Styela clava: one gene and its partner. The protein of the gene in region 2 interacts with the protein of the main gene of each other region in a pairwise test. Links are inferred from orthologs where the notes say so. Each region holds a gene or a part of one and is shown on either strand. Other genes may lie near its edges.

Region 1 (16,484 bases), on a different chromosome or scaffold from region 2:
TATTTCGGACCTGTAAACAGATGAACAATTCTAGTTTTTTTTACTGTTAGCCGTGCCAAGCACGTCATATCTCTAACATTTTGTCTTTCGTGTACATATAGAATTGGTCTTTTGTTTCAGATGGAACACCAATTTCAATATTATTTTTTGTAGAACCCGAAAAAATAATCGAGGCTTGTTTAGTAAAGTGGTGCACAAAAAAGTAAACTAACAAAGAAGGAACAAAAAAAAATTTGAATTTAGACTGCAAAGCTGACATCTTTCTTTACACTATATATTAAAACATGATATCCTCGTACCAAGTTAAAGCCAATCTCAGTCATCAGAAGTATATGCAGATGAAATAAATTCCACCATGCTTTCTTCAAAATCAAATTATGACGTAGTCTCACAGGCAGGCCTGCCTAGCACAGTAATAGAAATAAACAGCTTCAGTATCGCTATCGAAATACCTGCAAAAGATGGTAATGTGAGGGACCAATGTTATGGTGCTGAAAATATTCTATCTGCAAAAGATGAAATAAATCACAATGTCAAAAATGTTCGTAAAAGTTGTCTTTTTACTGTTGGATGTGATTATTTTTGATGGGTAATACATATACGTGGTTTTTTATTGTTTTTATATTTTAAATGACACATATGGGGGCACCAGAGTATTCAGTGCTTATAGGGCACCAAAGGGGCATAATCCGCCTCTGACTATGACTCTCGCCGCGCGAAAGCGGTTCGAGCTATTTCTCGACGATCTGCAATAAATATGCTTGATGAGTAATGGACCTTTCCCCGAGCATCGACTTCCTTGTTTACTTCGTGACATTGGCCAATCAGCAAGATGTAAAAAGTGACCTAACTATGCTCCCTTTTCGCATCCGCTCAGACACTTTTTTCACTCAGACAGATTTTCAGTAGAGGTCGTGAAGACGTAAACATCACCTCGTTTACGCGTTTTTGAACTATATTCGTTGGTTTTCAGCTGTGTTTCGGAAATTTAAATATAAATCAGATAATTCAATGATCACTCTGTCTTTTTAGAAGTTTCAATTCAATTGCAGTAATAAAAATTAGTGTAGCAATAGCTGTGATAGACTAGGCTAAAAAAATTTACTGGTACTTTTGAAAAACAGATTGTTGTATGCGATGAATCATAATGATGGTTTGAAACAAATACCCCATTTTACAGGAGCCAACTCGCGAAATAACTCTTAAAATAAGTCCCGAAAATTTTGCAATAGTAAAGTATAGGAAGAATTTTTCGGGGGTCAAAGGTCGGGGTAAGGTCCATGATGAAAACTATTCCTTTATAGAATTGAAAACCACTTAAAATACCGTGTTCTGCGGTGGGATAGTGCAATGCGCCAGATTTCGGATATTTATTGGCCACCATGCGAACTCATCGATCGTTGTACTAGTACTATATTGTTGTTGACCCCTTGTATGGGAAAACGGCTTTTCTCGGCAACTAATGCACTAACCGGTTTCTAAATTCCAATACTTGAATATATTAAAACTTAGGGCAGATATCAGTTTTACATTTTTTTAATTTTCCTTAGTACCGCGGGCCGATTTGATGTCTTTTTTCAATTTATTGGAAGATATATTGAACAACGTGACACGAAGTGAACCTATGGAACCTCTCCATCAAATATTTACCTGTTTTATTTCAAATCACGGGGGGCCAGGGCATTTAATAACGGGAACGCGTTATTCCGCTTGTCCGGCTATATTTCAGAAAACTCGCTGCTCCGCTTAGGCATTACCTGATGCGCGACCTTCTTGTTCTGCTAATTTTGATGGGCAGTTATCAACTACCAGACCAAATCCGAGACAAATGTTAAGAAACATGGGACGCTGCTGAAAGTCAATTCACACTTTTCAGAGTTGAATGCTAATGGGGAAGGTCTCGCCAATGAGATAAAATCCACTCATTCCTGAAACACACGAACTAACAAAAACTGTTGTATTATTCCCAACATTACAATTAGGGTTAGTTCGGATACCTATAATTTTTATTATCTGGATGACGGATAATAATAATTTAAGCTCTGTAATCGTACCGATGTACAACGGAATAATAAAATGAAACATTTTTCGAAAATATTGTGTCCTAATTGTCTTTCATCGCCACCGCGAAGTTATTTTCTTCTATTTTAATCATATGTGAAGAATTATATTATTTCTACTTCATAGTTGAATTTGTTGAAAGTTTCTTTTTGTGTCTGGAGCCTCTTTTCTCATTTTGATCATTTCTGATCCTTCGCACCTTTCTATCAATTGCAATGAAATTTATTATTGTATTGTATATTATTTAGTGTTCTATATTATTTTGTGATTTCCTGCACGACGAAATAAACTTTGTGAATATATACCATAAGAGCATACATATAAATGAAATCATGGAAACAAAAAATCATGCATTTCGATTTTATTTCAGTGGGAGAAGTATCCCAAAAAAATATAATATAGGGGAGGGGGGGGGGGGAGAACAAAGTCCGTGAAGTGTATAAGAAAATACTAGTTTTGAAAATTAAATTTTGAACGAAATTTTTAATGACAAAGCGTAATGATGATTTTGAAAAAAAAAACGAACTAGTCAGAAATTTCTTCTAATTTGAAAACTTCACTTATTTAACATTTCACTGTAAATATTCTCACGTTTGTACTATTTAGGCCACGACTTGCAATCTTTTTCCATCCGAATACCCTTTAATTAACAGAGCCAAAACAATGCTGCACCAGTTTTTGAAAACTTCACTTACCACCCTAAATGAGTAAATGAAAAACATGACACGATGCAAAGTCTGTTAAATTAAACTTTGCATCTTGCAAACAAAGAGAGTTCCCTGGAAACCATGAATGTAATAACAGCACTTCCATCTCTTTTCAAATTTTTCGGTCGGATTTTACAAGCTAATTTTGTTTTCATCGCCGATCGTTTTCTTCCGCGTCGGGTGATTATTTGGGGAATTAAATTCGGCACAGTTTTAATTTGCTAAGAAGTTACATCTCGTGAAAAGTTACCCTTGTTGTAAATTCAGTAAATACAATTATTACGATATTTTGGCGATACAAAAGGCGCCTAAAATAGAGTTTTGCTTTATCTATCACTGGCTCATAAATCAAGTGTCGTGGTATTTTCGTTAGCATTTACTTCCTTATATTCCGTTAAAAATGTGTGTTTCAGAACTACTCTCTTAACGTTAGATAGATACGACGATAGATAACATACTGCGGCCATTTTAGTTCCGGGCGAAACCAATTATCGGCGTTGTATACCGTCGAGACTGAACCCGACTTTTCTCCCGAAAATGTTGATGTATGAGCTAATTAATATCTGCATTTATTGTACTAAATAAATTATACTCATGGGAATTGCAATAATAGCTCAAATTTGATAAATTTGCAAGATCGCAAAAATACGAAATTGGATTTATTCGTGCAGCTAACCACGTATTCTTATATCTAGAGTAGAAATGATTTTATTTTAACGTAACGTAAGTCGAGCTTTTCTATAACGCAAATACGCAATAATCACATTTGTTCTGCGTGTTTTGTGATGTAATGGCCAAGTTCACTCCAGCATTACACAGATGACTAAAGGCAGGGTAGTGTGGATATGAGTGATTAAATAAATGCTCTGAGACAGTGGTTCCCAAACTTTTAAGAGTTGCGACCCACTATTTATTACCACAGCTTATGGCGACCCATTTAACTTTTTAAGACATAACACAGAAATGGCTAATCATCGTAAAGCACCGTGTTACTTCGAAAATAAGACCTGGCCTGAAAATAAGACCTAATTTTAATTTCAAAAATGATTTTAATTAAACCCAACCCTTGAAATAAATTTAAAATGTGTGGCAGAGGGAAGGTTCAATGACCTGAGGTAAGTTGAAGATCACACTACTATTCAAGATTGTGTGATGTCACAATCACAATTATGATATTTGTCACTTGATTTTTGTATAGGAAATACAAATAAAAACAATGGATGTCGATTTTTGTATAATGTTTATTAAAAAATCTCGTGATTTTCTACAATGTAATTTCATTTTTGATAAATGAACTCAAAAGACATCTTCTAAAAAAACACCATAGGTTATTCTTCAGAGGAAAATAAATCTAAATCCTGTCTAAATTTCTAGGAAACACGATTGCTGTACAGTGTACAAAACTGCTATGCGTAAAAAAGACACATGGTTAGTCTTTGTGTAGCAATTTTTGTTCCATTGGGAAGATCGTAAAAAGGAAACTTTGACAGACTAGAATTTAAATTTAATTTGTTTTTTTGCAGGTTTACGTATTGGAGTCGTCACCGATCCTAATAACCAGTATAACGAGAATATCGGTCAGAGACCGAAGACTTATCAATCGAAAGTTAGGGGATCCCAAAACAGCGCTCTTACTCCATAGTGACACCTTGTGTCTCATCACTAATTAATTAATGGACCTTTCCCCGAGCATCGTTTTCCTTGTTTACTTCGTGACATTGGCCAATCAGCAAGATGCAAAAAGTGACGTAACAATGCCCCCTTTTCGCATCCGCTCAGACACTTTTCTCACTCAGACAGATTTTTAAGTATGGTTGTAAACATTACCTCGTTTCCGCGTTTTTCAACTCTATTCGTTAGTTTTCAGTTGTGTTTCGGAAACTTAAATATAAATCAGATAATTCAATGATCACTCTGTCTTCCTAGGAGTTTTAATTTGATTGCAGTAATAAAAATCAGTGTAGAAATAGCTGTGATAGACTAGCCTGAAATTCTTTACCGGTACTTTTAAAAGATTGTTGTATGCGATGAATCATAATGATGGTTTGAAACACATACCCCATTTTACAGGCGCCAACTCGCAAAAGCACCCTTAAAATACCCCTGAAAATTTTGCAATGGTAAAGTATAGAAAGAATTATCCGGGGGTCAAAGGTCCATAACTCGCTAATTATACAACATAATTCATCCAAAATCAATAGGCTTATGGTACGACATATAATGAATGCACATGCAAAATCTGGAGCAGATTCAATCTCGCTTTCGTGAGATATCGCGTGCATCTAACAGACAAATACCTATCAACATACTTACCGATTAAAATCGATAAGTAATAATTAATCAAAGCTTTCTACATCTTTTCACGACCCACTAAGATTCCGTTTGCGACCCACCAGTAGGTCGCGACCTATGGTTTGGGAACCACTGCTCTGAGTGGTTCCATCTAAAAATCACTAATGCGCATATGCATTATTTATACTTCTCTATTATCCGGTTAACCTTTACAATAATATCCAGATATCAAAATATCTCTCGGTTAACCGCTATCCGGATAATCCAACCCTAATTACAATTGCACAATTTTTTTTTCAGGATGCGATTATCACAAGGCAACCACAGTCATTCGTCAGCTTAGCAAGCCATACAGGAAGACCCAGTGAGTAAAGCTGGGAATTACAGGGGGAATACTTTAACCCTAAGCAGGATAAAATAAACCAGTTAACCGCAGTGTGACGTTTAAGCAGACTGGAAACTGATTCTGAACCTGTCATTTTTAAATTTTTGCGTAAAACTGAATCATTTCGGATAAAATTGTACATTGTAAAGGTACGTGGATGTCACTCAACGCTCAGGGGCGGGTGCCCCTCCCCCCCTTTTTATAACGTTAAAAAATTAAAACCGACGTTTTTCGGCCTCCGGACAGACCTAGGTTGTTACGGTCAGACTTGGCAATTAAAAATTTCAAGCCCCTTCGAAAATTCCTGGCTTCGCCCCTGATGACTTACAATTGTGGAGAAGATAATGATAACATAAGATTAATCAGATAACAAAGCTGTTTTCAGAACATTCCTGCAGTTTTATGTGTATCCAATTTTCTCAAGGTATCAGATGCAGATAAAAAATCTCACAGAAGAAGCGTTTTTTATCATTTAAATTTCAGCAATGGAAATATTTCCGTGTTGAAAGCGAAATTGTGTGGAAAAAGTTCAAAATTAGCATTAGCAACATATTTTCAGTAGCAATTTACTTCACATAGCTAAAAGATTCGTCGACAATATCTGAATATTTTACATTTTAAACTATTTTTATTATTGTGAATAGCAGATATCATTCATCTGACAAAACTCAAATCAATGGGCAGAATGAGATTTTTGTCCACTGGAATAACATGACATTCTATGACATCATAGGCAAAAAGTAATATCCTCAATATACTGCCAGAAAAAAAAAGTTGTTGCTGTTTTGCTCCCTGTTTACATATGAAAACAAAATGATAAATGTGAAAAGACATGTGATATGGTCAATGATCTAGAAGCAAACCCATGACACTGTGATGGCTACTAATATTGCAGTCCATGATGTGCACCACAAACTACTACATTTGAAACAATATTTTTATTTTTGCTGCGATTGTTGTATGAGTTTTGTTTGAAGAACTTCTGTAACCATTTGCTTATTTTGAAATTTTTGCTGCAAAATAGTTTGCAAAGACTCCATTTGTCGCTTCAAGTAATCAACTTTTCTATTAAAATATTCTTCAGCATCTTTTGTTTTCTTTTCAACATAATATCCTGTTCCAATATCAACCATGACATTTTCTGTTTCATTGAGATTTCCTGGGACATAGAGACAACCGGACATCGGCACCAAAATTTCTTTACCTTTTTCAGATTTCTGCAAAAGCTCCAAACATGATTTAGATTCTGCAAACTGGGATTGTGCAGATTTCAGTGATTGAAGACTGTTACTTAATATGTCAACTTCTTGCTGCATTTGCTCAACAAGATGTTTTAGTTCGTGTGTTGGCAATGCTGCCAAATTTATCTGCTGTGGAGCACTAGTCATAATTCCAGTTCCGCTATATATAAATAAGCAAGTAAATATTATTTTTTTGATCCTGTAAAATAAAACACAAGCCCCTGATTAGAGAGAAAATTTGGGTTTTAGAGACTGGTATCAGCAAGTAGTATAAAAAGTTAGAAGAGTAGATATAGCTCTGTTTAAGTTGAATTAACTTAGAAAGATTATGCTTTTACAATCATTGTGATACTTGCTCCATGCCAATCTCAATTCTCTTCTATTACACTTCTTGTAAAGAATTTTTGGTTCGTGTTGTGAACATGTACAAGGATTCTCATCATAAGTTGGATATTATACTTATTTTTAATCTGTATGCAATTTCTATGAGATCACTATAAAAGTGAATTGTTGACTAGGTGCTTATATTTGACACTAGGAAAATAGTTCAGTAACCAGTAGTTTATATTTTACCATACTGAAAATAGGCACAAACATACAAACTGCAATCAATTATAAACAGGCCATATTGCAGGGTGGAGGAAATGCGGAAAAACAGTAGGCTACTGGTTATCGAGCAGCGGCACCCATAAATAAGTCTAACACTATATTATAATGAAGAAAAAGTGGAACCAAGTATATGTATATTGAAAAAAAAAACACAAAATATCACGAAGCTATCTGCTATAACCAGCAGTCGTTCACTTCACCAAAAGAAAATACGACCTCGAGCACCACTAACTCGATAACCAAGGAGATGAAAGCAGTGAGCTATATAACAACAATACATTGTGATATGTGCATTGTCTAACAATGGGCAATAAACCTAAGATTGTGATGGTGCAGAGTTACAGTGGAACCCACAGTATGCTGAGGGTGACCACAACAGGATCACCAATGAATAGTTACATGATTATCTCTAGCCACAGCCACAAAACTGCATTAAGGATGTTTCGTTGTTGTATCAAAAAACATCTAAAATGGCTATGGAGCCAAAATCCAGTTCTAAGGTGAAATATTTAGTTTAGATGCAGCATGAATAATTTACCATAAATCCCAAAATAATATTGTCATATTGAAAATGGGTAATGTTTAAAAGGAGACAAGTCTGCAAGTGGAAGTCGATGCATTTTTTGGTAATATTCAAAGATTTCAATTGATTAGATTGGTAGTTTTTTGTTATAAATAAAACTGGTTAAAAGTATTCCTGGAATCAAGCATCTAATATGTTAAATTTACTTAATCTTGAATTGATTTGAATTATCTCAATAAACTCAAAAGTGCAATATATATCTGCAATATAGAGTCATTGCGGCGAATAAAAATTTTTTGTAGTTGAACAATGAACATGCATATTATATTGGCTTTATAAAAATCAAAACTTTTTAGTTACTTCAGTTTTTTATGATAGGATCTCAAACTGCTTCTCCTAAGTATCGCTTTTATTTTTCTGTTCTCAGTAGCGGCATACAACTCTCAGTTACCAATCAAGAATTTCATGTGGTAAAAATGAACTAAGATAAAGTTTGGCAATATATTTTGGGGGAAGTCTTATTAGCTTGTTTGAGACCCCAATTGTCATAAGACTGTAAGGGCAAGGCTGTCCAACGTAAAATAAAAAGTCAACAATTTCTTTGGTACTGGGACTTGTTGTCCTTTTATGTTAGTATTTTTTATCTAATGTTTGGGTTGAATAAGATTTCGGAAATGTCGTCACTGCGTATCCGTCAATAATTCAGATGAAATTGACTTAATTGCATTGCTGCATATTGGTCACAAATCAGCATATATAGGCTGTTCGTCCAGAAATCTTTGTAATGTTACTTCAATAAATACTTGTAATTGGTGTTTCAAATTTTACAGAACGGCCCACATAACCTGATATTCCCGCGACGCTCATTTAAACATTGCTACTGAAAAGTAATGAATAGAAACACTTTAACGCAAATATACCCCTCGATGTCGACGTGTTGTGTATGTTCTCGCGTGGTCGTCAGAAAACCGCAAGTGTCATGTCCACGACCCGTGTTACCAGATATTCGATAGTAAACTGCTATTCTGATATTCGAATAATTTGCCAGCCCTACTCAGTAACCAGAAAGCAATTATTAAATTGATTGATTTTTTTTGATAAACTTGCGTTTTATGTATTATGTAAATTACCTACACCAAAATCCGGACTTAGCTGTATTAATGTTTGGTACAAACGTTTGCGGCCCGCAACGAATTTTGTCACATGAAAGTGGCCCGCGAGGCAAAAAAGGTTGGGCAGGCCTGCTGTAAGAGATATGGTATGCCGATCTAGTCGCGCAGAACAAAATCAGTAGGAATTATATATCAAACAAAAAAAGCATTTAATCATGAAAATTACACTCAAATCAGACAAACATCACCGTACATTTTCAAATAATTGTCAGCAAGTGAACTTTGGACATTAACTTTTTATTCAAACTAGACTATGGTACATATGCAGCTATGGAAGTTTGTATACTACTGCTGTACTGTACGCAGAGGGACCGTACCATACCAGTATCCTAAACTACAAACAATAACTGCCACAGTAGCCAGTAGGTACCGTTATCACGAAAAGTTGTGCCTCACTTGGTGATCTACGGCAGGGCTACTCAACTATTTTTATCGAAGATCCGCATACAAAATTCAAAAATATTGGGGTCTTTCCAGAAATTAACTCATTCGGGCAATTCCACGGAACTAGGGACAAACTTGAAAAAAATAAAAGTGTCCAATCCCAAAGAAACAACCCATATTATCATGAAATATATCTTGGAGTTTTGTTAACTTAATTTATTTCACAACTATATTCGATAATAAAAAAAATGAAGCTTGTTGAAAGTAGGTGGGGCATTGACCTCAATTTCTAGCTTTTTGAGCCATTGGCACAAAACTTAAGTTTTAACCTAAATAATTCAAACACAAATGAACATGAATTATTTGCTATACTAGAGGGCTATCACCATTCTCAGGATACATTCAGTTTTGTATAATACTGCCCCTTGGTATCTGTGGGAGCAATTTACTGATATCGATTTTTTGGTAACGCAAGTAACGTTTTTTCGACATTTTTTACGGTTTGTAAAAAAATACTGAAATTCATTTTTTGCCAATATACCATCATCCTATGTACACACACACAGCCAATATGTGTGCATTTTAACTTACTATGATTGTATATATTAATTAATATTCAATGTCAAATTTTGTAACGCAAGTAACAATGTAACGCAAGTAACAATTGTAACGTAAGTAACAAAATCTTATAAATCAGACTCTAGTAATCAAAAAGATATAATATATGGAAAATTATGGTTTTAACATAAGTTATAAATAGATAGTTTATTTTGAATTATTATTTATATATTTCCTTATAGTTAATTTCAGAGAATACCTAATTTTTGGCACATCACTTAAACAAGTTAGAAGAAATAGGTTGCCACTGGCCACAATAAAATGCATGATATCTGGCAACCCTAAATTGTAGATATTATTTGTATATTGTGGTGGTGGAAACCTTACCGGTACACAAAGACCATTACCAGGTACATTACCCTGCACTTTTTGGCTATTTTAGATGTTTTTATCCCATTTATTGCAGTAAATTATATAGTCTAGAATCTAGATTCAGCTGTTGGGAGTTAGTCAAAAAGTACCAGTACCGAAAAAATGCCTTTGACTGCAGCAGAGCGACAGAAGCGGTTCAGGGAGAGACAAAAGGCAGAAGGGAAAATAGGAGAATTTAAGTTAAAACAGAAAGAATATGTACGGAGAAGTAGAGAAAAGTCACGAAACAAGGAAAATAATTTATCTGTGAAAGAGCAAAATATGATTAAGCAAAAGCGAAGAAATGCAGTAAAGATGCGTGTTGCCAAACACAGGTTGATGAAAAAGCAGGCCAAAGAAAACCATGCTCCATTCAAGAGTGCTTTGGCATTTGCAAAGGCTTCTGCAAGGGCAAAGCGAATGATGCGTACTGCACTGCCTAGTACTCCAAATAGACAAAAGGCAGTAGTTCGAAAACTATATTGGGAAATTTTGGATAAAGAACAACAGGGCAATCCATCAACTGATAGAAAACGTCGTACCGGTATATTAGAATCTACAGTTAATGCTGTTGCAGATTTTTATAGGCGAGACGATATCAGCCGGCAAGCACCTGGAAAAAAGGATGTGATATCAATAAAAAAAGATGGGTTTACAGAAAGGCTACAAACACGTCATTTAACATCTAGCATCGCAGAAGTATATCAACTTTTTCGTGATGAATTCCCGCATTTAAAAATAGGACGAAGTAAGTTTGCAGAACTTAGACCAAAAAATGTGTTTTTAAGTTCCAGATTGCCTCATAATGTTTGCCTTTGCAAATATCATGAGAATTTTATTTGTGCAATTAATTCTTTGCATAAAGTGATTCCGGAATTTCCATCGTATACCACAAATATTGTAAACACATTTGTCTGTGCTAGTCCAAATTTAGAATGCTGGAAAAATGAATGTATGCGATGCAAGGATGGTGCAGGATTTAAAATGAGTTGGGGTGCAGTACTGGAAGGTTTTGAAAATAAGTTTGTGAGCTGGTATGTGTGGGAGAATAGTGTCAGTGATTCTAGATTGAAAAAGGTTCAGGAGGAGGGTGATGTAAATGATCTTCTGGAGCATGTATATCAAATGTTACCGCAGTTTTTGGAACACTCGTATATTAAAAGGCAGCAGTCTATGCGTTACAAGTTAGATCGAGATAATACTTTATCAACTTCGGCATCGTACAGTAATAGTGAAGCATTAATTCAAATTGATTTTGCTGAAAATTATACTTGCGTTAACCAAGATGAGATACAGAGTGCACATTGGCAGCAACAGCAAATTAGTATTTTTACAGCTGCAGCGTGGTATGGGGGAAAAATTCATTCAATGGCAGTGGTGTCAGATTATCTTTGTCACTCAAAAGAAGCAGTAATTCCAATTCTGAGCAAAATTTTGTCCACATTACCTAGTTTTATCAAATCTGTCAAAATTTGGTCAGATGGTCCCAGCTCCCAATTCAAAAACAAATATATTTTAGCGTCTTTGCCGGCCTTGGAAAGTGTGCACAATATATCAATATCCTGGAATTTTTTTGCTACATCGCACGGTAAAGGTCCAGTCGATGGTATCGGTGGTTCAGTTAAAAGATATGTATGGAATCAAGTCCGATGCAGAAAACATCATGTCATTGATGCAAAATCTTTTACAGAAGCTACCATGGCAATACAAAATATAAAATGCATGGAAATTACGCGTGAGCAAATTAAAGAGATAAGCTATAAACTGGATTTAGAAAAAATTTTTGCTGAAGCCTCGTCTGTTCATGGTATAAGCAAAATTCACCACATGGAGGTTAAAAATGGTCAACTCCTCACATCATTTTTAACAGGAGATATTAATGTGGATGCAGCTGAAAGAAGTACGCAAGGCTCTAGTGTAAAAATAGGAGATTGGGTAGCTGTTCGCTACGAAGGAAATTTATACCCAGGTGAAGTTACTTGTATACAGAAGAACGAATTCAAGGTCTCGGTAATGGAGAGGGCTGGTAAGAACTGGAAATGGCCAATTACCCAAGATTCCATTTTCTATATGAACACAGACATAGTTGAACAACTGGAGAAGCCGATTCCAATCAACAATAGAGGGCACTATGTTATTGCGAACTTCAGTGAACTCGAGCATAGAGTAAAAGCTATTCTACATTAATTCGATTTTTTTACATTGTCTGCAATTTCATTTAACATAATATATTTTGTTATAATGTTACTACACGTAAAAGAACTGAAATGTTTAGCATATACCTCTTTCTGGCAATATAAATAAAAATAAACCCTGCTATAGTAAAAATATCAAATGCATTACCTTTGACTGTTTGTTAGTTTCATTCATTTTTTGTTTTATTTTTCATGTTATTGTTCTTTGCCAAGCAAATAGTTCTATATTGCTAGTTTGTTCTTAAAACACTATTTTATTTTCAGAATTTATCTTCTAATTATGGATTTATAATTTAAACATAGAAATTTAAAGAAATTAAATGTTAAATATTGACTAAATGTCAAACTTGGCAATAAACTAAAAATTGGACCATGATTGTAACGTAAGTAACGTAACGCAAGTAACGGACCATTTTTTGTTCCTTATGAAAATTTTAATATTCAAATGAAAGTTTTTCACATAATTTTTTGTGATTTTACATCTGAAATATAATCTCTTCGGACATGGGAAAAAGTAGTTAGTTAGTGGTATTATCTTGAGATGGGGAGCATGTCAAAGTTTTGTCCAAAAAACTAGTGTCCTTTTTCTGTAACGCAAGTAACGACGCTTCGCGACTCGTCTATGTGAAAGTAGTCCATAGTAGAGCCATTTTTATGGTGCCTATGTTACAAGCCCAGGGCCATATACAACTACAAACACTATGACTTGAATGCTTGTAATAGGCTTTTGGCCAAGTCAGTTTAAAATTTGCACAGATGTAACGAAAGTAACGCTGGAATTGCCCATTCCGGTCTTTTCAGAAATTATATTTCAGCATCCTTAAACATGCGCTTCCTTGGCTGGCTAATGATTATTAGTTAATCAAGATTGTTTATTATGGCGTTATAGTTCTTTTCATATATATTCAAATCTATAAAAGTGATTTAATAAAAGGAAACTTCAAAAGTGGGACTGATGATCCAAAATAAGAATTAGTCGCGGTCCGAATCGAATACCCAAAAGGTTCGAGGTGGTCCGTCAGTTGAGTAGGCCTGACCTACAGTAAGGTACGGTAATTGATGAGTTTTCATTATTGCTTGATAAGTAGGCTATGAGTTTCTTTTTCGTGTTGATTTTGATACATGCAATACTGTTTTCACTTGCAAGATACCGTAAGCGAACATCGTCACTATTATTGCAATATCATAATATGGTGATATGTAACTTTGGAACTTAACAATCTGACATTAGCACTTTAAACCGTACCGGTAATAGCCTATACAGCTATATGACTTTAGAACAATCTGACATTACCAGTAGCATTTTGAACCGATTTTGTACTACCGGTGGCGGTACTGTGGTATGAGTTCGGCTACATTGAGTGATATTGTTGTGGTACCGGTATGCTTACTTTTGTCATGAAAACAAGCAGTGATGAAAATAAACCTAAGTTACCGTACATATACTACAGTACGGTACTACGGTAAACACACACCTGCCATGGTCAGTTGCGGTACCGTTGACATGCAAATATAACGACAACCAGAACTTTACTCAATGTTGACATCTTGTGACTCTCCGCCATGTGCCTAGTTTTTTTTTGTCAACTAGAAAAAAGGAGCAAGAAAATTGCATTATAGTTGTTGTTGTATTAGTATCTTTCCACTTTTCTTAGGGCATCCTGAGGTACATTTTTAGGTTTGGTATTATTTGAGAAAACATCTTATGCAAGGACCAGTAATATTGCCAACCTATGAATTTACAAAGCTTACTGTAAATATTTGTGAATATGCCTTTGTTATTACTCCATAATCATCATAAAGGACGATAAAATAATTGATACATTGAGTGATATTGTTGTGGTACCGGTATGCTTACTTTTGTTATGAAAACAAGCAGTGATGGAAATAAACCTAAGTTACCGTACATATACTACAGTACGGTACTACGGTAAACACACACATGCCATGGTCAGTTGCGGTACCGTTGACATGCAAATATAACGACAACCAGAACTTTACTCAATGTTGACATCTTGTGACTCTCTGCCATGTGTCTAGTTTTTTTTTTGTCAACTAGAAAAAAGGAGCAAGAAAATTGCATTATAGTTGTTGTTGTATTAGTATCTTTCCACTTTTCTTAGGGCATCCTGAGGTACATTTTTAGGTTTGGTAATATTTGAGAAAACATCTTATGCAAGGACCAGTAATATTGCCAACCTATGAATTTACAAAGCTTACTGTGAATATTTGTGAATATGCCTTTATTATTACCCCATAATCATCATGAAGGACGATAAAATAATTGATAGAATTAAATAAATAAACTGATTACAGAATCAGAAAAATGAAAAAATAGGGTTCAAAACGTACATATTTTGGATTGAAAGGTGTTGTCAAGAGGAGTGACGCGTGGTTGACATTAAGTTGATTAAAACACGCACGCATACACAGAATCACGCAGACAAACTAAGATGGGAGAGATATAAAAAAAAGAGTAACATAAGATATATAACTTCGTAAAAAGAAAAATATACAAACAAAATATAAAACTGAAAAAAAAAATTTGCCATAACGTATTGATAATTTTCTAAGTATAGCCAAATTGGATAACGAATTAGTTAACAGGAGTGAAACGTATAGGAAAAATATTTCTAAAAGAAAACCACTTCACCAAAGTGGGAATATAGCCAAATTAGAGTTCAGATTGTACCAAATATTATTAATCAGTATAAGTAATTAAAATTAATTAATGTATGGTACCGAGTTCGTACTTTCAGCATGTTGAAGAAATAAACTACTGATTACTGAGATAGGATAATGGCTGCAGTTCCCCAACTTTTTATTTGTGCGGCGTCAAATTATCAGGGAAAAAACTCACGGCGCACTCACACGAAAAAATGCTGCTTTTAAATACAAGAGAGCTACGCCCAAATATATGGACACGTCTGTTCGCAGTACAGTACGGTTTACCGTACCATCAGATCACAGTCTACAAATATATTTACACCAAGCGAAGCAGTACAGTAGGACACAAAATGGCGTCCGATGTCCGCAGAACGTTCGGTGACGTCATAGAAAACAAAAACAAATCTCACAGAGCTAACAAAAATATTTGAAATAAATAAAAGTAATAGCCTTCTGGAGAAATTTCATCTTTAACCACTAGGAATTTCAAAGCAATTGGTCTAGTGATCAAAGAGAAAAGCGGTTTTTTAATATTTCCACTAGGTATCCGAAAATTGTCAAAGAACAACAAGAACAAGAACAACATAACAACAAAACGATCGTTATGTCCACTAAACGTGTCCAAAAACTCAATTTTGTGATCAATAATGTGCACTTCATGTTTTTAAACATGCAGGACTAAGGAATAAAGACAAAAGGTCAACTCTTCTCTGCCTGATTGGCTGAAAAAATTACTCATGTTCGCTAAACACGATTCAGCAGATATTTAAACTGCAGCTCAAGAAATTGAGGCAAGAAGTGTATATCTCCCTTGTTACAATAGAGGCAGACTCTACGTAACAGAAGGTAAACGACATAGGAAGGTCAAATGAATTTATTGATTCATATACAGAGCATTTAGATTAAGAAAAAATGAAACATTTATAATAAATACAATATGGCAAATATTCAATCATATATTGGTTATGTTTAACACAAGTTTGTTAATTTTTGCAGAGCATCCTTTGGGAAACGCTGGGTTATGAGAATACACAGGTTCTTACAGGATCAAGCAAGGATGTCCCGTTTTTATTCATGGATAAATGGATGCATAGACAAGGAAATTTAATTGAGGTTGTCGATTACTAGGGTCATTCCAAACTTATCATATATGAAACGTCACTCTTTGCAAATTTTATCGATGTTGGCTCCATCATTGTATCGGCCATGATTCTAAACAGCAACCGCTTTTATTATTTCACTTATATAAATAAACTGGCAACGGTAACTTTGGGCATTG
Region 2 (17,368 bases):
GGAATATTGGAATAAAATTATGGCCTAACCTGGTACACATACTACAGGAGTACCAAACTTTGTTTCAGAGGTTAAATGTTTCAAGACGGGACGGACAATGTAGTTTGGAGTAATAATGTTGAAGTTTACAAACAAAATATTGGCATTACACTAATTAATTGAAATGTCAAATATTGATCAATTCACAAATAGCAGAAATCATTAAATTGAACTTTTTACTCAACAAAGATGCCAGCCGCCCCTTTATAAAGAGATTATGGTACTCCCATAGTATGTGTACCAGGTTAGGGTTAAGCTATAATTTTATTCCGATTTTCCTTATTTTACTTGAGACAAGGTTATATGAAAAATATGTTCAAATATTTGAAGAAATCTAAACTTCAGAGTCGTATATATAATCACTGCAAAACTAGGAAATCTTGAATGAATTCAAAAGCAGAAATTCCCGCACTCCAGCAGAAGTGTATGTACTATATGGAGGTAACTAATTTTGTTCGCCTACTTAACATCAAGTTGTGTAAAGGGACTGAAGCCTATGGGCAGAGACTATATTCACTTGGCTAACACAGACAGTCCCCGAATTCGGAAAAGAACTTAAATAAGGGAAATCGGGATAAAATTATAGTGCAACCTGGTACACATACTACGGGAGTGCCGAAATTCACAGGAATAGAATTTGAATTTTGTCATAGCTCAATTTAACAATGACTTCGATTACAATCAGTCTTTATTTGGCGGTTACTGTCCCTTGATTGAGGGATTTTCTCTTCATTACGTCCCAATTGTAAACCCGAGCCATGCTAACTTCTGTCGTTGTGCACTGGTCACGTAAATAATCTAAATCGTCGTTTACGGAATCAAGGTTTTTGACAGCAGTTTTTAAATTGTTGTTCAGAAGATCGTAAGCGTCTTCCACCGAGTAGTTGAGCATGACATTGGCCTGAAAAAGATTAGAGATTCGTTAAATGAAAGTCCATGCTTATGAAACAAATATCTGGCAACTAATCCCATACCCGACATGGGCTTGTAACCGGACGAGAGGCCGTGGTTCGCCATATGATTGAGCCGTCTTATCGATTTTCCTTTCCCCTGGGATAAACATGTAAATCTCATTTCAAATCAGTGCTCCCAAACGGGGAGGAATAAAAATATTTTGGGAGAAAAACTTTTCTTTGTGATTACGGGTAGCATTGCTAACATAGTTGGCTCAACACTCTTCCATACTAAAAAAATTTCTCTCTTTTGCCCATTTTGGAATTCCTCATTCCCTCCCTCCTTATGCATGAGACTACTTTATTTGTTTGGTCTTTAACCCTTTCCATTTTTATTTTTTATTAAATAATCGTATTTGCTACGCCGATTTTATGCATTTGTACCCCCACAACTAATCGATCAACTAACGAAAAACTAATGATCCTCTGCTGCCAACTGACGGCTCGTTGGAAAGCTTATTTAAAGAGCTTGCAATTGGCAAGTTTTTTTAAAAGTGGTCGTCTGAGTCACAAACCGGATATAAAAAAAAAGCCTTTTTTTTTTGCTTAGGAGTTGAAACTTCAAACCGTGATAAAAAATAGAAATATTTGCTAAATCCTAAATCCTTTGTGGTTGGCAAACAATAGCATAATATTGCTGTAGCAATTTCGTGATCTAACTCAAAATACTTTGGTAGATGGAAGGGATAATATGTCTTCTATTACCACCCAAAAAACACTGAAATTTGCATAAATTTCAAAAACACTCCCTCGTTCGCCGCAAATAAAATTCCCGGCGTAAACCAAAGCGAGATTTACCGTCGCTTATGTTAATCTCGAAGAAGACTTCTTATCAATAAACTAAAACCCGGAAAAACTAGACCAACAGTTTGCGACCCATTGCTAAATAAAACAGTGAAGTACATCAACGTACCCGCCGCAATCTAGTGACTTTTGTCGTGGGTACGTATACGTGCCCACCGCTCGGAATAGGTTAATGGATCATTATCTAGCTTTATACGCAATGCGCACTCCGCTTTTGTAAAGATTAAGTAGTTTATTATGTGTGCCCAGATCAGGGGTCGGCAAACTTTTGTCATTGGCGGGCCGTACATATTTTTAGAAATTTAAAATCCGAAGGAATGGCCAATGAATCACATTTTTTCACACAGATTTCAGTTAAATTTCAAGCAGTGCGAGAAGACTGATCATTTGAATATTTTTTGCGTCATTAAACCAATTGCATTCAGCATCAACTTTCTTTCGCTCTGTTGCCATTTGTCTAATTATAATCAATTATAGGCTCATTAAACTGAGTGATTGTGAATTATATACTTGTTAGGTTATAATACATTTTAGTGTCTCAAAACAAATTCTGTCACGTAAAGAATATAATCGTCAATACAGCTGTTTTGTTAATATAATTCAGTGAAGCGTCGCGGGCCGGATTATAATATTGCTCCGAGCGGATCCGGCCCACGGGCCGTAGTTTGCCGACCCCTGGCCCAGATGATTATTACAGAAATAACGAGAATATCGGTCGGAGGCCGAATACTTATCGATCGAAACTGCGATTTCGATTCATAACTCTATAGCGACACCACGTGTCCCATCACTAATAAATCAATAACTCGCTAATTATACGACATAATTCATCCAAAATAGATAGGCTTCTGGTCCGAGATATGATGAATGCACATGCAAAATTCGGAGCAAATTCAACCTCGCCTTCTTGAGATATCGCGTTCATCTAACAGACAGGCAAATACCTATCGACATACTTTAGGCTTCTCGTCAGAGACATGATGAATGCACATGCAAAATTTGGAGCAGATTCAACCTCGCCTTCTTGAGATATCGCGTTCATCTAACAGACAAGCAAATACCTGTATGTCGATAAGTAATAAAAACCCACCATAACCCTCCCAGATAAACATGCAAGCTATATACTTACTCCAAGCCATAGGCAGACATCCTTTGTGGGTGGTATTGTTGCTTTTGCTCTGAGAGAACCAGAAAGTAGGAAATGAGTTTCCATTGATTCATCTTTGTCCTGTAAATCAGTGAATTTTTATTGAAATAACACTTAAACGAGAATATCGGTTGGAAACCGAAGACTTATCGATCGATAGTTAGGGGATCCCCCAAAACACAAACTGCAGTTTCGATTCATCCGCTCTTGTAACTTGCGCACTGCGCATCGCACACACACACACTCGGGGGGTCTCAAAATTCTCTCGCTTTACAAAAATCTAGATCACTATATCAATAATTGATTGATAACTCGCTAATTATACGACATAATTCGCCAAAATCAATAGGATTCTGGTCCGAGATAAGATGAATGCACATGCAAAATCTGGAGCAGATTCAATCTTGCTTTCGTGAGATATCGCATGCATCTAACAGACAAACATACAGACATACAAATACGTATCAACATACTTACCGATTAAAATCGATAAGTAATAAAGCTTTATATCAGTGTTTCCCAATCAGGGACTTATCTTCTTGAATGCGGATATTTAGTTATTATTTGCGCTTGGTATTACTTGGTATTGCGCTTGTTATTTTCGGCTTGCTTATTCATCAAGTCCAACATCCGAAAACAAATAACTTCAAAACGGATTAGGCAAGGATGCATTAAAAAGCCTTCCAGTAGTTTTCTGTATTTCAGTGTTTGTCCTTCGCGACCCACTCATTGGGAAACACTGGCCATCACCCCAACTCAGCGGGGGGCCACATCATGCTAAAATTGCTGATTACCCTACATGGGTTCGCAGGTAAGAATCCAATGTGACGATACTTCTAAGGGTGATCAACGTGCCCGCTGGTCGGTTACAGCTTCCTTCATCATCAAGTCCATGCCTCCGAAAACAAATAACTACCTAACTAAACCCATACCTGTCATGAAATGGTACCCGGACGAGAGATCATAGGTCGCCATATGATTTAGCCTTCTTATCGTCTTTTCTCTCCCAAAAAATAAATATATTTAAATCTTATTCTAACTTACAATAAAAATTAATTTTGGGGAAATAACAGGAAAGTCCAAAATGAAGATCTCACTTTAATATCATTCAAATGCTTCACAATATCTAAAGTTGTTTTGATCTCAGGAATCTGATTCTTCAATTTCTCTTTCTTATGATTCAACGACATCTCCATCATCTTGTATTTCTGGTAACGTTCCTCAAGTTTTTTCAAAGCCCCCTGAAATAATCAAGAAATGGATAATTGAGCGTGCTGTAATACCTTTGAAGTGGAGGGGAGGTCATAGCACAGTGACATATCTCTGTTATGTTCGCATGATGGAAATTAATGGGATTATCATTTTACTTACACGCAAAACCAAAAAAAGGCAATGTTTACAACCACGTTTGAATATCTGTCTGAGCGAAAGAAGTGTCTGAGTGGCGACATAAATTCCAATTGTTATGTCATTGTTAACTTATGGCTGATTTGTAATTGTTACGGGAATAAACAAGGAAATCAGAAACGGTTATAATACACCCAATAGAAGTACTATGGGTACGAAACTACACGAGAGCCGAGTTCATAGAGTTCTTGCTACAGTCAGACAGTATCTGCTATCGTGCGCAATCAGTGAATGAATCCACTAACATAAATGCGGAGAGAGTGGTAGTAAGATAGGTGTCAGTTCAATCAACCATACAACCATAGCTTACTGTTACCTGTGCTGAGGAATCAGGCTCTTCTGCCATGAATTTGTCTACATCTTCCTAAAAACAAAAGAGCAATGTTTAAATAAAGGTCATGGATGTAAAATCTGAAAATGGTCAGGTGATAGGATTAATATATTTGTCCCAGAAGAGAAGAAAGTTAAAAAGACGGCTCAATCATTTGGCGAACCACAGCCTTTGGCGAGATTACCAGTCCATGTCGGGTATGGGGTTAGTTAGTCAGTTATTTGTTTTCAGATGGACTTGATGGTGGAGGAAGGCAGGACCAGCCAACCAGCCAGCGATTACGTGAACCCCCCATGCTGCCACGGAGTGAGGAGTCCAGCAATTCTCTCGCACAGAATTATTACCACAGGGTAATTAGAGCTGCTGTGACGAGCGTATTTTTAACACTTAGCATGATGCCCACACGGTCGAGCTGAGTCAATTTTTCAGCCTGGGCAATAAGCTAACTTAACGCAAGATAAACAGGATGTCTTGATTCCTTGCCATCATATGGGCAGTTCACATAACTACTGGCAGACTGGTCAGGTATGGCTTCTTCCACCAGCCACCCCATGCATCTGAAACTAATACCGGCAACTGGCAGAATGCCAGTCTGGATTTCATGGCCTTTTCGAACGAGAAATCGGGCGTGCAATCAGAAATTCCCGCGTGCAAATAAGAATTTCTGGCGTGCAATTATAGCTCACGGCGTGCAAAACAACTGCGCCCGCTAAACTGATTTCGAACTAAGATACCTCTCAATACATCCGCGTAAAAATAAGTTGGATCATAGCAAAAATGGACGTTTGACCTTTGACCCCCAAAACATCATTTCTATATTTTGTCACTAATTTTGAGAGTGTTTGAGCGACTTTAGATACCGGTACTGTTCAGTACATCCGTGTAAAATTATTGTATTAAAAATACGCTGAATCAGAGCCATAACTGGCCAGCGTCGGTGAGGAGGCGATTTTTCTCACGGGATTCCTATCATTCAACACGATATGGTGATTTTTGCTTCGCATTTTTCGATCAGGCCAAATCTTGCAAGCAAGTATTAGTCGACAATTGTAAAGTTATAATTTTTTGGCATCTTTATATTACTAGATTATTGATTTAAAAACTATTTCAACCGATTTACATTGATGAGCAATTGCAAATTTTCGGCGTGCAAAATTGAATTCGCTCGCGTGCATTTTTGTGGAGCGCTAGCGCCCTCGGGCGTGCATCTGCCATGGAATCCAGTCTGGGCAGAATGAACTGGTAATGCAGTAATGGGACAAGAGACAATTTAAGAATTTGTTTTGTGTTTACAACTTTTGTAATTTAGTTTGAAGGTCTACCAGTCTCTAAGTTGGCAAAATTTGTTTCAAAACGTTACTAGTCCAGCAGTCTGTAAACTGTATGAATTGAGAACCGCAGAACCAGATCAATATTTTTTTAACGTTAATGGATCACGTTATGACTTATCGACCTTTAGATCGGTAAGTATGTTGATGTTAAGGTATGTTAAGGTATTTGTCTGTCTGTCTGTTAGATGCACGCGATATCTCACGAAGGTGTGGTTGAATCAGCTCCAAATTTTGCATGTGCGTTCATCCTACCTCAGACCAAAAGTCTATAGATTTTGGATGAATTATGTCGTATAATTAGCGACTTATTAATTAATTAGTGAGGGGACACTCGATGTCACTATAAGGTCATGAATCGAATCCGCAGTTTCGATCGATATGTCTTTGGTCTCTGACCGATATTCTCGTCTGATTATTATGTTAGGATAGGATTTACATATTTATCCCGGGAGAGAGGAAAGCCGATAAGACGGCTTATCTATATGGCGAACCACGGCCTCTCGTCCGATTACCATTCCAAGTCGGGTATGGGATTAGTTTTACTGTATTGTTTGTTTTCGGAAGCATGGACTTGGTGGTGGAGGAAGCCGTAACCGACCAGCGGTTACGTGAACCACCCAACGACGGCAAGGATAGGATAGGATTTACATATTTATCCCGGGGGAGAGGAAAGCCGATAAGACGGCTTATCCATATGGCGAACCACGGCCTCTCGTCCGGTTACCATTCCAAGTCGGGTATGGGATTAGTTTTTACTGTATTGTTTGTTTTCGGAAGCATGGACTTGGTGGTGGAGGAAGCCGTAACCGACCAGCGGTTATGTGAACCACCCAACGACGGCGAGGAGTCCAGCAATCCTCTCGCACATAACCATCCCTGCATGGGATTCGAACCTGCGAACCCACGCAGAGTAATTAGAGGTGCGGTGGCGAGCGTATTCCTAACGCGTAGCCCGTTGAGCCACACCGCCGCGCCGGACAGACACTGCTGCACTGAGACCTGGAGACAGGCAAACTTATGACTTACCACAAACTCTGCCTCCGGAATCCCTAGGTGAGCTTTCTTAGTTTCAGTCGCCATATTTAACTAGCCTTTGAAAACTTCCAATGTTCAAGTTCGTTTCCTAGTTTTCGACAAATCCAATAATAGCAAAACAGCCCAAAATGAAGACAATTTCTGACCGAAACTACCAAAAGGAATGGTCGGGACTTGTGAAGTCGCTATAACGACGAATCGTTGACCCAGTCATGCGTTTCGCGACCAAAAATAGTCATTTCAGCGAATGCCATAAAAAATCGTTTCGAATGATAAAAAAATACTATTTCTTAAAAAAATCATTTAGGATTTATTAGAGAAACATTTTTGTATCTGCCTAAAGCTATAGTTCAGGTACCTAGTTTAAAGTCCAGTTGACGAGTGAGTTGTTTTCACCTACATTCTATTTCACAAGATGAAATGGTCTATGTAGTATCTTTATGTCTCATTTTCCGAACTTCATTTAGAGATTTGACAACTTTCTTAAATTTCCGTCCTGCGTGTTTGTCCTATGAGCTGTTACATTTTGCGCCATGGACCTGTTCAAAATGAAATATATTAAGAGATAGCTGATCTTGACTGACTAAACTGATATTGCAACTAATGTAAAACTCCTCGGGAGACAGTCTGAATACATATATACTTGAATTTAGCAAACACAACTAAAAACTAACAAAAAGGTTAGAAAACCGCGGAACTGTGCCAATCTTTTCTTCTGTCCGCGTGAAAAAAGGTTGGAGAAAAATCAATTGTTACATCACCGTCAACCAATTGCTTATTGGCCATTATTTCGGAAATAACCAAAGGAGCCAGAAGCATCTGTTGTGAAAGCCACGCTGTAAGCTGGATGTTTGTGATAGCCATTATTCAGGCTAGAAATGATGAAAAAATTCGGGTAACAATTCTCTAGTTCATTTACAATGTCGTTAGAGGTTTGAATGTTTAATCGGATACAACACTGCCTGCGACGCAAGCTGTTTATTCAAGTAGGCTACCGGCAACATACGTTTCATTTTTTCATCAGGTCAGGATCTTACTTCTATGGGTGAGTTTATATTTACTCGTGTATTGATTAGATAAATCATTTTTAACTCCGCCACAGTGCCTAGAATGACGGAACACCGGGCGAGGATTCGAAAACCTAAAGGAGGCCGTCCGACCGTATGATGTAAAAGCTGATGTCTTTACAGTCTATCGTTTTAGTTAGTTCGGCTCGGCCAACAAGTCCTTGTGTCTGAAAACAGAAAATAACTGGCAAACTAATCCCATACCCGACATTGATTGGTAACCGGACGAGTGGCCGTGGTAGGGCTTCCCTCTCCCCGGGGTCAAATATGTAAAATCCTTTCCTATCCTAGCTAGATGTATGGGTTTGGTTGGAAGCCGTTACCGAACCACACTGTAAAGACAAAGAGTCCAGAAACCCTCGCGCACTCGAACATTATCAACCTTTACCCGGAAGCGTCATTTTCACTTCATTTTACATGCTGTTTGTACAAAACGCGTTTTTTGTGTGGTACGAGTGATCATGATCACCCCGGTGGGATTCGGACCAGCGAATCCCGCAGGGCAATTATTCATTGATTAATATCAAAGGCCGGCATATAAATTACCATTATCGCCCGAAAACTCGCCTCTGCGAGATTAGACAGTAGCAATCAGGTGTTGGAGTCGTATGTAAGTTGATTTGTGCAAAACGTAACTTCGGCAAAAGTAATTCGATCTGTAATTACCAAGTGTCAGTACTGTCAGTCAGTACTCAGTGTTACTTTGCATGCTGAGATTCGCTGACGTAGATGTCAGAAGATGCTTGCTAACACGGAAGTTAGTGACGTTCTTCGATTCAAACTTAATTCAACTCACTCTCAAATTTTCGTTTGAAACGTTGTCGAGTAGCTAGCTAGCTTGTAGGAATTGTCGATATGTCCAGAGTAGGGCTGGACGAATCTTCGAATGACGAATGGAATATTCAATAACAACAAATATTATAAGGTTAATTTGTCATTCCCATAACTAATTACATTCAATCTGTGCAATTCGCAAGCTGTGGAGCCTATGAGAGAATTTAAACGAATTACGCGTCCCCAGGAATTTAAATAATAACAACGTAATAATATATTGCAACGTATAGCTTTTTACATTATGCAATGGATCTAATTACAAGCATGTTCGTCTATTATTTGAAATGTTTTACAATTGCTATCAATGGCCTTCTAGATTTTAGTATAATTAGTATATCCATATCGCTTTATTTATTTATTGTATGTACTCGCTGTTTGATTAAGGTATGTCTTGTTTTGTCTTAAATTTCCATTAAACAGCAGACTGCCCTTTCGCTCTGGATTAGAAAGTAAACAGGAAAGGCCTGCTGCTAAATAACGAAAATATATATCTGCTTAGGAATTAAATGCCTCTTGTTATTGAGCGGAACGTTCTCGGAATCATTCGAACGCCAGTTTCTTGTACCAAAACTCAGCTTTGCCCCGCTCTGTCACTGACGGAGTTGATGAAAGTTATGTTAATGTGACAAAAATTTGAATGTAAAAACGTATGAGTCTTAGACACGTGGCACTCAAAGTTCGGAAAATCTTCTCACATAGCGCAACCTGGGTGAAATAGATATCGGCTTCAAGTAATAGATCAGAAGTCATAAATGAAAGAAACGACACCAAAATTACTTTGTTTTGGAGTATCGCGCTCTTGTTCAATGATATATTTGTGCCGCAACCTCCTACGGCAGACGAAGAATGTACTTGATCGTGAATTCAAAAGCATTCAACTTTTATATCAAACCCGCGTAAGAGGAAAGCTGATAAGACGACTAAATCACATGGTGAGCTACGAACTTTCGTCCGGATACCAGTCATGGGACAACCCGTCATAAACCTCTTTCGTCAATTTATAACACAACACGTACGCTAAACATGACCATTTTAAAATTGCTATTTAATTCAAGAAACTTTTAGAACTTAAGAGAATAAAGTAAAAATATGATAATAGAATCTCATAATGACATTACAACCAGAAATATACTTTGCCTAAATAGGCTATAAGTGATAGGGTGTCGGTGACACGCTCGATCGAGGTTTCGAACTAGAATAAAAAAAATATAATTATAGCTATAATTGGGTTAGACTTCAAGTTAGGAATGTCCTGCCATTTTTTGCGGCATATATCATGATTTTTCTTTAAAAAAGATCAGTTTAGATAATTTGTGATTGAAATTAATTCATTGAATACTAGACTAATCTGATGGCTCGGAAGAATAAAACTGTGTTTGCGTCGTAGGTTATAGATCTTACGTTCAAACCCCATGTCTACCCCCTCATCCAAAGAGTGTGGGCCCGTGGCCCCTAACCTTTTATTGGTCGTGCTCTCCTTCTGGAGGGGTTTAGCTCTCATGGTCCGTCCCCCTGTTTATCATTCCAATGGCATTTAAAGTATTATTTTAATTGGTAGGTTCCAAATCCTATTAACTTCAAACAAATCATGCTCAACAAAGTGAAAATACTCTGTGAAATAACATTACCAAGTAATGAAACTAATGAACCGGGGTTTTTTTTTTGAGGAAAATATAAAACAGGTTTTACGCCTAGCATTATAGCCGCCTTAAGGTTGCCACGGGCCAGGTTGACCGCTGATGTAGGCCAAACCGGAAAAAATAAGTAATTCAAAACAATAATAAATTTTTGCGCATCACAATTGACCGAATGTATACAAAGTAAAGCGTGAAAAATTTTCATAAAAATGTAGGTCAATATTCGGGTCGGATTGATTCGATCATAAAAGTGCTTCGTCATTGATAAATAATTTTAGTTTAGCAAGTCTTAAAATTGTGTCTTACAGAGTCACACAACTCTTTTATGAATGAAAAATACTGTACAGAATAATCAATGCTGAATGAAAATCAAAGGCCTATTTTGCGAAGAAAAAATAAATGATTTGATAATAAACATAGGATATGGAGTATGTGGTGAAAGTATTATTGATAGCAAGCCATGAAACGTCAGTAAGATTCTTATATTAATACATAAATATCGGTAAGGAACATGGGTATGTTAAAAATTCGAAAAAATTTAACCATAAATATTAAAACGAAAACTGTGTCACAAGGTCTATAAAATACACAAAATCATAGAATAATTTTTATTCGCATATATAATAATAAAATTAAAGTTAAAACAAAAAATGGTTTTCATCGACGAATTTTGCTAAGTAAACGAGATGAAAAAAAAATCGATGTCCGGACAATTTCTCCCAGAAATTTCTAAAACCAGTGACATTATTCAGAAAATTATTAGCAACTCCTGAATTATGTGAACCAAGATGGCGGACAACGGAACGTAGTATGTGTACCAAGTTAGGGTTAGAACATACTTTTATTCTAATTTTCTATATTTTAGTTCTATTACGAGTTCGGGGACTAGCCAAGTGACTCTCATAGTATTTGTACCTGGAATTATGACCTAGCTCTAACCTGGTACACATACTACATTCCGGTGTCCGCCATTTTGGTTCACATACTTCGGGAGCACCGCAAATTAATTTGAAAGTCTTTTAATATAGGTTAGGGTTGGATTTGTCGGGGAGAAATATTCCATAAGTGAACTATATGAGGGAAAAATTTTCCTAGTTCAAAAAATATTTGATGAAATGAATACATATAGATATGCTGGTTAATCTAACATAACATGAAAACAGAAAATGCATTTTTATTATATACAGATAGAAGTGTTTGCTTTTAAAGCTAATATATATCTCTAAACACGGCATAGATAAATTTAGTTATATTTAAGCATGGGGTTACAGTAATAGTTCTCAAACGGTGGTGCCCGCCACACAAGGTGAACGTAGACAATTTTTTAGGGGCGGGAAGTTGATTAAATAAAAAAATATTTGTTAGCTTTGATCTTATTTTGGATATTCACGTTCCATAACTTACCGCTCTTCTCGGTAATTACTGGACAATTGCTTTGAACTTTTCAGTGGTTAAAGATTTTATTTTTGGCTTGAAGGCTATTTATTACTTTTATTTGATTCAAAATTTTTTTGGGCTCTATGGAATTCGTTTTATTTTGTGCGATGACGTCATCTGAAATTGCGCACCTTGTGTCGGTTCCGCGTTTGCCTTAGTCGTGAAGATTGCCGCACAGGTAGTCTACTGTGACAGATTGCATACTCGTACTACTTTGTTTTGGCTTTCGTGCCCATATACTTGAACATCGCTTTCTTGTTTCAATTCATGGTAACACTTTTATCACCTTTTCTACACTTTATTCACCCACGCTTGTCCGCCGATGCTCAGCTAAGACAGTACCGGTACCGATTCTCGTGTCCATATTTTTGTGCATTGCTCTTTCTTAATTTTGGGTTATGGGTATCGTTTAGGTTTATTGTTTTAAACTTTGCTACAGTTCTGTACCGTAATCTTTCAAGATATTTTCAATACTTCTTGAATACTTCTTTTGTTTGATTAAAGAACTGACTGGGGAATTCACCGGAAAAGCATAATCGTCATAATCGCTACCATTGTTGGATAACGAATCCTCTGTAATAGGGAAAAATCCAATATTATCTGAACGACTTAACGCCAATTTCGGAGAACTTTTGTAATGGGGAATCCTGTATGATGTATGACCACGTGTACTTGGGATGTCACGGTTGGGTGAGATTGCAACCTTAGTGACGTCACGATGCTGACAGTCCCAAGGAATTGAATACTCGTTGTCGTCTGGTAAAGATATGATTTCTCCTCGTCGTGACGTTCTTTTTCGCTCGTCCCATCTTGACGGGGAGTCTTCAGATTTCGATTTCACAAAAGTGGTTGTTGGTAATTTGGGGGCATATTTTGAGGAGGATCTTTTAAGTGAAGTTCCGGGGGGGTAAGTGGGGGTAGCGGGGTTTGAAGATGGTTTAGGTGTCATTCTGTGTTGTAACGGGCTGTTTTTAATTGAATGGGGTTGTTTTCTGGGGTTGAATTGCGCAATCGCTTTATTAGTAGTCAATTGTTGCGTAGGAGAAGACGACCGTCGCCCCATTAATGCGACATTTGTCGCTGAAATCGAGCGGCTGCCTGATATGAGTGGACTCGGTCTATGTGGAGTGTGAGGGGTGGTGGGGGGAGTATGAAATACATTACGAACCGGTGATAATGATTCATTTCTTCGTGAAATAGGCGGAGAGTATACTTTTTGGACCCTTTCGCCATCTGGCGGTGGCGTGTGAAAACCATCATTCATATGAATGGGGCTTGTAAAAGGTGTGCTTTCGTTACTTGGGTATTTCCCTTCTGAACGATTCAATCTTTTCCTGGGGGAAGTCGGGAGAAGTTCACTCGAAGCAACACTGCTCCATGTGCCCATGTCCGAATCAGAAGGAACACTGCGTTTGATATTGTGTGAGCTATGGGATTGTTGAGATTGCTTACTTTCTGATGTATTTTCCAAATTCTCTCGTTCGGACATTCGTCTTTCAATCTCTTTAATAATGTCTTCAGCGTCTGTTTTTTCGTCGACCTGAATGTCATCGAGATTCAAATCTTCATCTGAACTTTTCATTTCAATTTCCAAAAGTTTTTCATGAACAACCAATTTTGGTTTTGGTGGTATAACATACCTTTGCGAATCCCTTCTTTCTCGAGTAGATTTGAATTTCGACTCCACTGCCTCTCTTCCGTTTTTCTCAAATTTGCTTCTGTGTTTGTTTATTTTCCCTTCATTTGCCCCGCCAATCTCTGTATACCATTTCAATTCGCTCTCTGTTAAATGCATACTAGGCAATGAACTTCTTCGATGCTTTCGTGTTATTTTAGCGTATGCATCGATATCATTTGTGTCGTTTTTACCCAATTTTTTTTCTTTTTCAATTCCTGACTCGCTAATGGGCGGAGGAGATAGGTTAGTCTGTTGGTTATCATTGGAAGACGCAGGCGACAGTGGTAACGACACAGCAATATTATCTTTTTTAGTTTTTCTGTTTCTTCTCGGAGGAGGTATAGGGGGTGTAGGGTCTGACTGCTCTAAAATACGATTGAGCTCTTCTTCAGATGGAAATGAAAATTCTGTTCTGCGAACGATAGGTGGAGCCGTTTTCGGAATTTCAATTTCCTGATAGTCATGATAGCGTCGCCTCTTTTGAAATGGCAACGGAGAAGTAGTTTCCTTGACGACATTTTGGTTTGTTGCTGTCGTCGATTGTCCTTTCTCTGTTACGTCACTACTGTCTATATCTCTGTTTTTAGTTCCATCACAGTGGTGCTGATAAGTGTCATCTGCGTATAAGACGAATGCTGAATTCGGCCTAGATTTCGGTTTGCTGTTATTTTCACGCTGCCTTCTCTTGGTCACAGTATTGGCATCTCCAGTCTCACACAAATAAAGTAAAGTTTCAATAACCATTTCCAAATTGTCAGACTGCCTATGCCGCGGCCCAAGCTCTTTTTTCAATTTCGTTTTTAATTTTTCGCGTTCGAATCTCAAACGGCTCTCTGGCGACTCTAATGGCTTTTCCTTTTTCCTCGAACTCCGAACATTTTGCTTGTATTGATATAACACGTCAATTAGACTTCCATACTCGTTCGATAATTGTTTTTTCAGTGGAGGATGTGCACTTGAAGGTACTGAAGTTTCGTCAACGGTGCGCAAGTCGCTTGTCTTCAAAGGTGACATTTCGTCTGTTAACTTATCTATATGGTTTTGCCCGTCGGATTGAATCAAAATAGTCTGATTTTCGACGAAATCGTTAGATTTTTTAGACGTAACTTCTTGCGAAGGCGACAATATTTGATTCACGGGCCCGAGCGGCTCGGAAGGGATTGGTGGTACTACAGTGGGAAATGCTGGTATAGTCTTTCTTTCGCTTTGTTGATTGGTGTGTGCGAGAGACCCTTCTGGAGCAGAAAACCCCATCCGCGCGTTTCCGGAAGGGCGAGTGAACTGCCCAGGTACTTCCTGGGTCAAAGGTGACAGGTTGTGATGGTACGCAGATAATGCTTGTTCATTTGAAGTAACTGAATGCGGTGGTTGATGATGGTAGTCATGAATACGTTGCCTGTAATAACCTTCAGATGACCTTGGTCTCACCGGTATCGGTGCAAACTCATTTGTGTAATGTTCGATGTGGTCTATTGGTAAATTTGGTGCGGTATTTGAGTGTCTTGTGTGTTTTATATGATGTTGATTCTCTGGTAGTAAATCTTCCAACTTGCTTCCTTGACTTTGATACCTGAAATTAAAAAAAAATATGAAATTGTAATTAGATCGAGTCTAGAATAAGAAGGATTTAATATAAGATGAATAAGCCACACGAATATGCTTTTTGTTAGTAGTTGGTGGGTCGGTATGCGAATGTATTCTAGGGTAGCAAGAATCAAAACATTTGTATTGAGTGGTTCAAAGGTGTTGCATTTTATTTTCACAAGATTTATTCTGTAATATTTTCTCTGATCCAATTAAATAAATGACAGATCTATATTTTTATTTTGAAAAAAAAGGTTATGTGACAACCAAATTATCTTTGTGCTGATAATTTGAAGTTGGTGAAAGTGGATGAAATTTGGAACGGTGGTCCTGAAGATGAGTGGCATGCAAAGTAATGAAACAGATATGAAAAAGAAGTTTTTACTGCCATGCTAAACGATTAATATCTGCGATTTTACTCCTGGTCGATTCTGGACCTGTTCATATTTGCCCCGCCACTATTAGTATGTTATCGCCACATATATTGCTTTGGCCAAAGTAGGTAATTGTTAATAACCTGAAAATATTTATTGCTTTACTTTAAACTTTATAATATTCATACAAATTTATATATATCTGTTTGGGCGCCAGGAATCGTTCGAAACCAATGCTGTGTGTGTGTGATGGAGCTCGCTTTGAACAATGACCCGCCTTACTAGGATTCTGGCCCGAGATATTTTGTCATCGCTTCCTGACCCATAAAATATGATCAAATTCAACATGGCATGACTTTTCAATTATGGATAGGAATGAAATATGGAGGTGTTGCAAGCATATGCCAATGATTTTATAAAACCTTCAAAATTGTGAATTTTCTGTTGCATGTTTCGGCTGTAAGTCTGGGGTTTGTCTCGCCTGAACCCGATACTGCGGGAAAATATCACTGTGGCGATTTCTAGAAGTAAATTAAGAAAAAGCTTTCAGAAAAGTCGAGCTTAAGAGGACCACTCGCTGCAAGAAAAAAAAGTCGTTCCCGAAGTATGTGCACAAAGATGGCGCACAACCTGAACGCTAACCTGGTACACATACTTTTTCAGGTTGTGTGTCATCTTGGTGTACATACTTCGGGAGCTCCAAAAAAATGTGTACCGTCGTATTTTTTATGGTGGAATTTTTTTACAATTTTCATTATGAACATGGCCTTAACCGTACTTACTGATATGTCACGATTTGTAAAAAACTGTATTTTTGTAAAGGTCAGTTGGGCCGACTGGCATAATGAGTATAAAAAAAACCTTGGTCAGGTGGCTTGTGAGATCTGTACCGAGCATCTTTAACCTTTGATTGTGTTGTTCAAAAACGTTGAATATTTGAACCTATGCCCGCCAGCATACCTTACATCAGGGCTACTCAACTATTTTTATCGTAGGTCCGCAAACAAAACTTCAAAATTATTTGGGTCCGGTCTTTCCAGAAATGATATTTCGGCATCCTTAAACGAGCACTTCCTCGACCGACTAATGATTAGTAGCAAATTAAAACTGTTTATTATGGTGTTATAATTCTTTTCGTATATATTCAAAACTACGAAAGTCATTTTATAATGGGAAATTCAAAGAGTGAGGCTAATGATCCAAAATAAATAATTAGGTGCGGTCCAAATCCAATACTCGAAAGGTCCGATTCGGACCGCGGTCCGCCAGTTGAGTAGCCCTGCCCTACATATTCAGCCACAATGTTTTTGTTTTGTGAGACAAAAAAATATCCAGTATTAAAAAAAGTTAGAGATCAAAACGGCAATACATCAGCGACCCCTTCTTTTTTTAAATGTAAAAAAAAAATCATTTTTCTGTATTATGCATAGCAATTTTTCGTAACTCGAAATGATTTTTAGATCTACAAGACTCTTGTAATCCGGGACCCAAGTTACTCTATTGAACACTGGTACATCTCATTTGTTAGGCTTTTCTCAACATCAGGGAGGAAGAGTATTAGAATCCCATCCGAAAATTTGCTTTTGACTTACCCGGATGAAAGCCTCCTTGTTCTTCTATGTTTCGGAAAGTCTCGGACGATATCGGAATCGTATTGTTCTTCTTCGATCAGTGATCGTCTGTATTGTAGTTTCCTCTGCTGATGAACCC

The links.
Region 1: the proteins of prefoldin subunit 3-like (region 2) and prefoldin subunit 5-like interact in binary tests that used the Drosophila melanogaster proteins (3 or more experiments, as listed by UniProt). The link is inferred for Styela clava from reciprocal best matches to the Drosophila melanogaster genes mgr and Pfdn5.

What each region holds. Positions count from the first base shown.
Region 1 is NC_135260.1:7,617,417-7,633,900, reverse strand, and holds prefoldin subunit 5-like, read right to left. Parts: upstream 6,917-16,484; 5' UTR 6,834-6,916; coding exon 6,384-6,833; 3' UTR 5,893-6,383; downstream 1-5,892. UniProt on the Drosophila melanogaster protein: Binds specifically to cytosolic chaperonin (c-CPN) and transfers target proteins to it. Binds to nascent polypeptide chain and promotes folding in an environment in which there are many competing pathways for nonnative proteins.
Region 2 is NC_135259.1:21,591,368-21,608,735, forward strand, and holds the start of prefoldin subunit 3-like, read right to left. Parts: upstream 7,226-17,368; 5' UTR 7,093-7,225; coding exon 7,039-7,092; intron 4,715-7,038; coding exon 4,667-4,714; intron 4,185-4,666; coding exon 4,041-4,184; intron 3,025-4,040; coding exon 2,926-3,024; intron 941-2,925; coding exon 728-940; 3' UTR 1-727. Other genes in the region: uncharacterized protein LOC120338412, read right to left, coding at 12,456-15,270, 17,251-17,368. UniProt on the Drosophila melanogaster protein: Binds specifically to cytosolic chaperonin (c-CPN) and transfers target proteins to it. Binds to nascent polypeptide chain and promotes folding in an environment in which there are many competing pathways for nonnative proteins.